2 linked regions of the Arabidopsis thaliana genome follow. The protein of the gene in region 1 interacts with the protein of each later gene in a pairwise test. Each region holds a gene or a part of one and is shown on either strand. Other genes may lie near its edges.

Region 1 (7,242 bases):
GTGATGAACGAGTTATATGTTATTTTCAAGACAGTAAGAGAAACATTGTTACGTCAAGTAGTCAAGTACGTTTGTTCTAGTATCGTATGTTGTGGGGGAATTAGCCTTGTCGAATCTAATTCACATATTATTTTTGTGGAAATTTGACTAATGGATAGTTTATCCGTCCATAAAACAATGACCCAAAATCCAAATTTGGTTGAAGTAAATCTCTATAAATACCACGTGAATTTAACTATGTTTTGTGTGCAAATTTTTTTATTTCCCAACAGTTTAGAAATATCTAGAAACAAATGCAAAAAGACAACCAAATTTCTTCAAAATTATGTTTTAAAAAAAGAAATAAGAAAATTCATCTTTAATTTTGCATTTTGTATTAAAAATTGTTAGAAAACTTTTTTTTTTGGTGAACAAAATTGTTAGAAAACTTTTATACATCTCTCTTTAATTCTTGTATTAAAGGTACACTTCACAAGTTTTTTTTTGGTTATTTTTCTTTTGACTTCTCAATAATGGCTAAGTCATTCGATTCACAAGGATTCCGTGTACTTCTCCATTTAGTCCAAACAAGGAAACAAATATTTATAGAAATGACAACATTATCCTAATCATACATTCAAATATCCAAAAAGGACACAATCTCCTTTAAAAAGCCATTTTTGAATCTTCTTGGATAAACAAACAAAGTGTCTGTCTCACACCAATGTTTCAAATTTTAAGATTACAATTAAATAAATATAAATTGCTAAGTTTCTTTCTACACAAGACATTCCACTGCTCCTGCACTTTTCTTTCTTCTCGGTCTAGAAAAGATTCAATGAATAGCTCTTTAGTTGTTGCATTCAGGGAGCTTCCGAGAATAAACTAGCACCATTACAAATTCCTTTGCAGATGAACCTATTGACGCAGCGACTCTTTGATGCTTAGAAGTTGTTTCCAACCATAGGTCTACTAAGCTGTGAAGCTGCAACGTTGGGATCACTGGTTCTCCCATACATGTTATCTCTACCTGTTTACAAAAAAAAAACATAGAGTAGTTAAGGTTCAACACCGGTGGGTCGAAAAAGTCCCAGATCATAAGATATCACCCGGTACACAAGTCGGAAATAAAAGGGAGAGTTAACTTTAGTTTAAACATTTATGGGGACCTTACAGTCATATTGATAAGCACAAGACTTGAACCAATGTATAGAACTACGGTCTATGTGATTCCATATTAGACCGAGTGGATACCTCATATAAAACAGAAAAGTAGCCACTGCATAAGATAAGATTGCTTACCTCATCTTCACTCTTGAGATCAAGCTTCCTCATGAGGTACTTTTGGATAAAAGAAACTGGAATATTTCCATCCCTACCATATAATGAGACAGGGGATCAACTCTGGCACAATATAATTCTCCCAAACAAGAAAATAGACACCTCCCAGTCAAGGATTAGGTGTGATGGGCCAAAAAAGAAGAAGGCTTTATCAAGAAACGTATACCACAGAAAACAAACATGACATGGAAACTCGGGTAAAACAACTGCGAAATCGAATTCAAAGCCATCAATGCAATAATAAGTAATATTTGATCACAGACTTCACAGTTGACATATAAAAACTTAGTGACAAGAAACAGAGCAAAGCAAAAAGAACAACTTACCTTATTCTCAAGTAGTTTGCTGGAATCTGAGGCAATGATGCTTCTCCTTCCCTGAAACCAGTAAAGCCGTGTCACTAAGAGATAGAAATGAAAAGACACAGAAAATATTGAATATCAGAAGTACTCAGAGTCTCAGATACAGAACAGGAATCTCACTGATTACTTGACGCTACAAGTGAGAACCAAACATGACCGTTTCTCCTCTCCTGTTTTAGGCTTGCTGCACCTGGTAACAGTGGAATTCTAGAATCACCAAAAGTAGATGACCTTTTGCGACGAGTCCGACGCGTTCGTTTAAGTGTAGCAGTTTCTGATGTTGTAGGATCACCGTTATTGCTGATCTCTTCCTCGAGTTTACACTTTCTTTTATGATCCTTTGTTTTGGTTTTACTCCCCTGAACATCATTGTGGGATGCGTTTCCAAGCTCAGATTTTGGGTCCTTTGTTCCGTTTGCCACATCCACAAGAAAATTTAGAGGTTTCCAAAGATGTAATTTGGAATCCCATGGTTCATCAACATCCTTGTTTCTTCGATTAGAGAGGGACTGGTTAGGATTTGCATATGAAGACTGCAAAAAAAGAATTAATAAATAAATAAATGTATGGGGAACTATATAAAGACCATAATCAGTCATAACGTTGTGTTTGGACTTGGTAAAGAGAAAAAGTAAAACATAAAGGTAAAGAGAGAACTGCAATGATCACCTTCTTTACCTGTCTTTTATTCTGAGTAAACTTTTTAAGTGTTTCAGGCGAGCTTGCGCTCTCTACATGATCATCTCCAAATTCTTCTTCCTTCTTCACTGTTCTCTTAGTGAATGAACCACTACCTCTTACATCTTTTCTCGTAGCAGCTTTTGTTCTTTTTCCTGTTGTACCAGCTTGTGCTGAAACCCTGGGTGTGCTTACCACCAAAGACGAGATAGACCTCTCCTTCCTCTTTGCAGGTAATGAGATGGAGGACACAACTTCAGGCGCTCTCTCCTTTTTACGTTTTAGAGGAAATAATTTGGCTCTCAAGTCTTGCAAAATGTGGTCAGGCCTAAAATAAATACATAAGAGTGGTTCTTTAGAAAATGAATAAGTTCGCCACCAACAAAGCTCTTACTGGTGACCAACTAGTAAGAGAGAGTGTAGTACTAAAGAGATTTGTTTCAGGTTCTAACAAAAAATTGTTGGTGTCAGCGAAAGTATTAAACTAGCCAACATATTCAGGTCATAACTGCTTCTGAATCGAAATGACTTTTCTTGATTAACTTCACACTATGCCACAAAAATTACGGAAGAACCTTCCATATGTGGCACACCTCAGCATAATCATGTACAACTTTTCAGCATTATGTAAGAAAACTTCGTTTCATCAACAGTAAGAGCCAAAAGGCTTCTAACAGTCTATACAAGGAATCACTGCTAAACCAAGACCGAGGAGAAAATTGTGTAAGGAATAAAGAAGAAGAAGAACTTACCTTAGTTTCTCCAGTGGGGTACCCCCGAGGTCAATATCGCATACTGGACAGCTCTCTATCTCATCCTCTGTGATTTTCTCATAAATGCATTTCCTACAAACTGCATAAAAGTGATATAAGAACTTGTTTCATTTCAATAGATAGTAACTATCAAGTAAGAACAAAATCTTTTGTAATAAAGGCGACCAACTTACATAAAAACAAACAATTTCTCAGATCAAAAGTTTAAGTAAAGAATGAATAGCATAATGTTTGAGGTTCAATGCAAGTTGGCTCGCTGCCAAGTTTGAATTTATTAGATGCAAGTTAGATTATCGGACTCCTTCCACCAAATCCATTATAGCAAGGCCGATAATTGGTATGGTCTCTACTGCATCAAGTTATATTAGTTGTCATGGCAGAAGCTTGTAGACAAGTGGTTAATGAGCATCATACTGTTTGGTTTTAAAATCAAGAAAATCCATAGCTACCAACCTAAACAAAAGAGATGGAATCACAAATTTGATGGGGATACTGCATTCATCCCCAGAAACAAAACCGTGAAGCATTTAACACCTAATTTTGGCACTGCAGTAACTCAAAAAGAGATTCTGCAGGGCGTTCTGAAAATTTTATTAAATTGAGATAAGCAGTTGGTCAGTTGTACAACGGAACCGAACTGTTAACATTTACCTTTTTAAAATCAGATGGAATGAGTAAAATAATTACAGAGTAACAAGGTATATTTCTCCGTAAACGGTAACAAAGAATTGGTTGTGTAAAGCTTGGAATGGTAGATTGATTTAGACTCCAAAAGGAATATAAACTAAATTTGAATAAATTACAGAGATCAGCAAATACTTCAACATGCAGAAAACTCACTACTAATCTGGATTGTATGTTAAAAGAAATAAATTAAGCCATTCCAAACAGAAAATGATCTAAACTGTCTTAATTGTATAATATCATGTAGAAGAAAGAGGCTGATAAATGCTACTTAATCCAAATATTAACTTACATTAAACCGATGAGAGTAGATTAAAGCACTTGTTACTCGAACTTCCTAACACAAAACTTACAAGTTGGATATAACAAAGCAACTGAATCTAACTAACAACATGATTAGCCAAAACCAAATTTGGACGTCATGAGTTTGACCAAACCATCTTTGACGAAGAAGAAGACACTCACAAATTTTACCTAAAGAGACGAATAAAGGAGGATTCTTGCAGTCTAAATGTAAACAAAGATTACAAATTCTGCTCAACAACAACTATTACTTTAGTTGAGAAAACCAAACAAAACTATTCATTGACTCGAGTTTCATCAAATCGACTGAGACATAGAGGAGATCATAAGTGGCATACGAGACTAACAACAAGAATCATGCAGATATTCAATCCAAATCAGCAAGAGGAAGAAAAAAAAAACACAACAGAGAACCAATCAAAGAAGACGATAAAGACGAGAAATTGCGAAAATTAGAAACCGGGTAAAATCGAATCGAAACGTAAATCGAGAAGGGGAAAGAGGAACTAACACGTGTGAAGACACTCTGAAATGGTAGTGGCGTCACGGAGGAGTTTGTCACAGAGAGGACAAGTCATGCATGCCACCACCGTTTCTCTCTTCACTTTAGCCACCATGTCTCCTTCCATTGCTCTCTTAACGACTCCTTTAAATCCTTGATGTCTATCTAAACGAGGATTGATCGATGAATCGCACGTACTATCCCCAAAACTGCATGTAGAAGAAAAACAACGACCCACCAAAAAAAAGAACCCAGATTTACGTTAAACAACAACTCTCGTGCGAGATACCTACATTCAAATCCAAATCCGATGGAGACTCAAGACCGAATATATCCGTAAAGGGTCGAAGAAAATCAGAGTGAAAGAAGTCTCAATCGGAAGAAATAGAGTGATGAAGAAGAGTCGACGAGGTTGAAGAAGGGAGAATCTGGGGATAAAAATGGAGAGAGATTCGAAGGAATAGGGTGAGTATAAAACAGAGGAGGAGACGATCTGAATCGAGGAAGAAGGTGAAGGTGAAGAAGAAGAAGGAAGGGGTCTCTCTAATAAAGAGGCAAGAGGGGTCTTCGTGTTGAGGAGAAAGAAGAGAAGCGAGCGATACCGTAAAGAGTAAAAGACGTTCCTTTCTTTACTCTGTTTTTATTTATTTCCCAATTGTGTAAATGGGCTTTTCCGAGGCGAAACAATGGTTTAGGGCTGCAAAGTCCACCACCGATTTAACCCTCTCTCCTTTTTTACTGATATTGCGTGATTTTAATCTTTTTATTTTTGTTTATTGACATCATTAGGAAAATTACTTGGAAATAAACAAGATGAAGAGGTGAGTCAATTAATTAATAAAACTTAAGAAATGAAGAATTAAAAAATGAAGAGGAGGAATCAATTACACTTGACAGAGAGTATGCTTCTCAATGATTGAATTTTTGGTTCTAAATATATATGTACAAAAGGGAATTACGAGAAAATAGCATCAAAGTAACCGGAAACAATCATAAATATTATAACTGTTAATAAAAATTAAAACCCTTTAAATAAATAAAATTTGAAAATAAAATATTTATATATATATATATATTGTTTATTATTTCTTTTTAAAATTAACGAGTTTAAAGATGTCTATATTTAACTCAATAATTTTTCGTTAATGAACTCTAATAAATAAGTAAAATCTATATGTCCATATGTTATCTCAAGTAAATTTTATCTAATTTATAACTTGGATGTCAAATTCATAATGGATATTTTGAAACATTTTTCCGAAAAGTTGTAAAAATGGCATAAGCTGAAAAAATCGAATACATCTTATCACTTCGCGATCAATTGGAAGGTCACATATCTCTCGCAAGAGCCAACAGTTTTTATGAAAGATCGACAAGTAGATAATTTAATAGTCCATAAAACTTCTAAAATTCAAAGCTAGCTGAAGTAAAAGTGTAAAACCTTATTAATACCTCAATATTGCTTCCTTTTGCAATTATAATTTAACTGTTTCTAAATGTAGAAAAGCATGTACTAACAAACACTACACTGATTCCAATACTAAATATTGGTAAATTGTTAAATCTTTTTGAGTATATACTTTTCTTATATATCAATCTAACATTTTAGTATCCAAAATTAGTATGAAATTTTAATGGTTCTTGCTAATAAATTTTATTTGTTAGGCAAAAATGAATCACAACATAATACATGTTTAGTTAATAGGTATGTATCGAGTTTCTACTTTATGAATCAAAATAATTCACATCATCACTAAGCGACAAAAGAATTTACATATTTCGTCACAGTATGCAAGACGAATCGTACGTTACTTTTAAAACAGTAGAAATACATTTTTATGCCAACTCGTCAAGTACGTTTGTTATAGTAACGTATGTTAGAAGAACTAACCGTTTTTATTTTATTTTAGGAATTATCCGTATTGAATCTAATTTATGCGTTATTCGGTAAAAAAACGACAAGTAGATAATTTATTCGTCCATAAAACAATGACTATTTTTTTTTTGTAAATAACATTCAACACCCCATAATAGAGAGATCAATCAAATATAAACTCATCCAGGGGTTAAAAATTTCAATTCCCAAATTCGACCTCAAACATTCCAGTTGTTCCTCCAAACTCCAAAGTACAAAGCTGTGAATTTCCCACTCTTGAAAATCATTGACAGTACATTCTATCAACGTGTCAAAACATCTATGGTGGCTTGGGAGAATTTCCACTAAGCCAATCAAAAGAAGTCAAATCTTAGTAAACTAGTAATTTTGCTAGCACATGTACACCGCGCCGCACTATATCTGTATCTCAACATTAATCCTCTCCGTATAAAAATCAAATAAATACATTGATTTATAAATATTAAAAAATCTGAGTTAAGCGAAAAAAAATAAAAGAGCAGAAGTCTCTAAACATGCACGAGGAAGCTCTGAATCTCCAGATATGAAATCGTAGAAACAGACTCTCGCATTTATCGAATCCTATTGCAGAAGAATCTGAAAACCCTAATCTGCTCATCGTTTTCTTCAATTGCTTGTTGAAGAAGCAGAGAATCTCCGAGATCTGTGTTCTTCCCTCTGGGAATGTGCTTCTTCTTCTTCGTGGAGAACGATTAAAGCGCAACG
Region 2 (3,683 bases), on another chromosome or scaffold:
TGATGGGGAAAATGAGAAGATCAGATCATCCCCTTGTTTGTCCTGGGACCAGTTTCTTGTTGCTAAGTAGTTTAGATGCAACCAGCGACTCGAGGTCATAGTATTCACCAACAGGCATACACTCGTACCCATTTACACTATCTTGCTAAGGGTTTTTGATATAGCACCACTGCATCGGTTGAGTTCTTGATAGATACTTTTGGCATAGAATGTGTAGTTGGTGAGAGCAGTGTTAATAGTCGTTAGAATACCACCTGGGTGATCTATTTCTTTGTCCGTCCTCTCTGTTGTTTCATCTCCTATAATGCTTAAACAACATATTTTTTATTTTTACATTTTGAGTTTGCATGTTCTTTCTAATAGCTAAAGGATAGTTGAAAGATCTTTAGACTAGTTTTCAGTAGTTATTCTTTGTAGATTTTTCATGTTGGTAGCCAGAGATGGAAGTTACTATATATTACGAATCTTATCGTAAAATGTTTCTTTGAGGAATGGATAAAAGTAGTGGTAAAACCTGAAAGTTTAGTTTAACTGATCTTCCACTGGTACAAAGCCTCAGTAAGGACCCAAGTTTGAATCCTGCTTACGGTTGCATATAACTTGGCGGATCAAATATGTCTTTTGCTGCTGAAATTCACGTTCTTGCTTGACTTGTATTCATCTTTTTCACTCATGGCAATGAAGAACAAAAGTTCTAAGTATTTCAGAACACAATTCGGAAGATTTTTACACCATCTGATTCTTGTATTGTCTGTCTTTTGAATGAAATACTTTTTTCAGAAGGTGGCGAATCATGCTGCTCGGTGGAACGAAGCAATCTCGGTAGTGAAACGTGTGCCCATAATCCGGCCAGCACTTCCGTCATCAGTGGGTATGAACCAGTGGTCCATGATGAGTTTAAGGTGAAAATTAAGTGAATTTGAGGGCATAATAATGCATATATGTGAGATTATATGATTTGATGTGGTTGGTGCATGTATCATATGATTGTATTAAAAATGTTACAAAAACATACAAAAAGATGCTTGTAAGTTTGTACTGTGTGTGTATATATTGTTACTTGCTTGGTGGAATACAAATTGGATCAGAATCATAGTGCAGTTTTGGAAGGTTGCGGTCAGAATCTAACCTTGATAAGCTTCTGAGCTGGTCTTAGTAGGCAGTGTCGTAAAGAGATTGTACAAAGACAAAAGCCAATAACGGAATTTTGGTTGTTTATTTAGAAAGTACGACTCTTTAAGATATGAAAAGGGTTAAGACAAAAACCCAAATTAACAGGGAAGTTCACGTGAAGAGGGCAATGTTTCTGATTGATGTAGCCATGTAGGAGTCTATCTTTCACTTTATAGCTATCCTAAACTCTACGATGTCAATTGTGATTAGATATATGTCTCTTCTTCTTGTTTCTTTGTCTTCTTTCACTCTATTATTCGTTGACCATTGTACCACCAAAGTTTGGTATACTCACTTATCATACTTAAATCACAAGTGAGTATTGTAAGGAACTAAGGATCCAAAGCTAAAGCATACTCATGAAGTTTAACTATTGACGTTTAACGGAAATAAAGCAAACCAAAATTCGAACTTCAAGATAAATCTACCCATTGTCTTCACGTAACATACTCAAATTTTGGTTTGCTATGTTTGATTCGGTCTATAAAAACACAGACAATAACTTAAGACCTATGTAACAATTTCCTCCATGAGAAGAAGACAAATTAGACCAAAAGTTTGAGAGAAACCTATAAAACCTACAAATATTGGGAAGAAAAAATAGGAGTAAATAGGTATGGGTCCATGTTAATGATGCATGTGACAAACAATCAAAGCCCACACCATTAATTGGAGATTGAAGAAAAAACACTGCTTTTCATATTCTGTAACACCACTTCAATTCCTTTTTCTCTTGTTTCCTATTCAGTACTATGTCCTGAGAGTGCCCATAACTTCTTTTGTCTTTTTATCTCAGTTTCCATAAGAAATAATCAACTCAAGCCACAATGTGTGTTTGTGTGATTAGTTTTGTGATAAGACATTCCATAATTTTCCTATTGTGTGTTTAGGATAAGTGAAGATGCTTTTGGTTTGGACCATATTATATAAATAACATGTGTCTGCAATGCCGCAAAGTGGAGCTTTCTTCACTCACAATAATCATTTTTTTTTTTCATTGAATGAAACAAACAAGACATTCAAAATAGAACAAAAGTTCTACAGAGATAGAGAGAGAAAGAGAGCTTTTCTTCATGGGTGGTTCTACAAGCAAGGATGAGAGAAACAGTAGTAAGAGACGCATCAAGGTGAAAGCAAATGAACAGAGAAGGAGAGAAACAAGAAGAGAGCTTGATGAGAAAGAGAGAGTGATTTTGGCGTTGAAGATGGCAGAGACAGAGTGGAGGAAAGAGAGGAAGAGACTGAGAGAGGAAGTGAAGAGGCTGAGACAGAAGATGGAAGAGAAGGAAGAAGGAAAGGCGAAACAACACGAGTGGGAATGGGTCGTGGAACAGATGTGTTTAGAGAGAGCAGTGAGGGAAGAAGCTGTGGAGAGGTGGAAGCAGCTCTACTTTGCTATCAAGAATGAGCTTGATGATCTCATCCACACAACATATGGTAAGACCTTTCACAAATAATCTCATCTTTGATGTTTTGAGAAAGGAAGGTAATGAGTTTTTTTTTTCTTTTGTAGGAGAGGCACTGAGACAGAAACCGCAAGAAGAAGTTGCAAAGGCAGTGCAAGAACTCAGAAAGGAAGTTAAAGCTAGGGGAGAAACCATTGAGACACTGAAAGGGAGAATAAATTTGATGGAGAAACAACAAAATGGGAAGGAAAGAGAGATTGACTTACTGAGACAGAGTCTGCGTATCCTCGGCGGTAGCAGCGGGAAGAACAAGGCACTATCATCTACTACCAGAAACCTGACAGTATTCAAAACAAAATTCATCGGGTGTAAATAACTGTTTTAGTCATTTGAAGTTACTTTTCCACAAGGATTGCTGTATAAGTAGACTCAGTAAGCTTCAAGCAATAATAAGCCATTTCTTTCCTATCTCATGACGCTAAAGAAAGTTGTATATACTTCACAAGTAACATATCCAGCATCAAGAAAATCTAATGGAAAAGAAAAACGGTGAATGATCAGGGATTAAGATTGTTGTCTCCAAATTGATCTAAGATTATGTAGAAACTTAGTACGTAAAAATAAGAACTGCGTGCAAAGGTTCCAAAACAAACGAAAGCTTAAGGATTGAGATAACTTACTTCTCCCGCAGCTGTTCTCCTGAAAAGCTCACAGATGCAAATAATGCTGAAACTAGCCAACCGAGAGGCGAGGTCCGAGGTGTAACGGTCCCTGTTAGCCAAAAATAACATTCCCTGCAAGGTCTCCCTGAGCATGCAGTGAGAGTATAATGTTCAAATTTCATCTATACGCATTGTGATAAATTCCAACCATCTTGTCCCCTTTTGATACCATGTCTACGTTTAAGTTTACACGACTGAACCACAGATCACTATAAAATAATTACAATGGATGCTTGTCTCTTGTATATAGTATACAGTGTGAATCCTATACAGCTGAAGCGAGCCACTACATGCTCTCACTTAGCTCTCTCCCACTGATTGGATAGTAGTACTTTCAACGCCTTTCGGATCTTCAACAGTTTTGTAATATAACTTCACACTC

Evidence for each region.
Region 2: the proteins of DRIP2 (region 1) and AT4G13540 interact in a two-hybrid assay, tested with the Arabidopsis thaliana proteins (one large-scale study listed by BioGRID).

Annotation. Positions count from the first base shown.
Region 1 is NC_003071.7:13,023,951-13,031,192, reverse strand, and holds DRIP2 (DREB2A-interacting protein 2), read right to left. Parts: upstream 5,283-7,242; 5' UTR 4,750-5,282; coding exon 4,632-4,749; intron 3,213-4,631; coding exon 3,113-3,212; intron 2,689-3,112; coding exon 2,361-2,688; intron 2,216-2,360; coding exon 1,803-2,215; intron 1,698-1,802; coding exon 1,647-1,697; coding exon of another isoform or gene 1,643-1,646; exon of another isoform or gene 1,355-1,642; coding exon 1,282-1,354; intron 1,010-1,281; coding exon 830-1,009; 3' UTR 532-829; downstream 1-531. UniProt on the Arabidopsis thaliana protein: E3 ubiquitin-protein ligase that acts as a negative regulator of the response to water stress. Mediates ubiquitination and subsequent proteasomal degradation of the drought-induced transcriptional activator DREB2A. Functionally redundant with DRIP1.
Region 2 is NC_003075.7:7,867,650-7,871,332, forward strand, and holds AT4G13540 (golgin family A protein), read left to right. Parts: upstream 1-1,670; 5' UTR 1,671-2,246; coding exon 2,247-2,610; intron 2,611-2,686; coding exon 2,687-2,955; 3' UTR 2,956-3,141; downstream 3,142-3,683. Other genes in the region: AT4G13530 (uncharacterized protein), read left to right, coding at 781-906; AT4G13550 (putative triglyceride lipase), read right to left, coding at 3,602-3,682.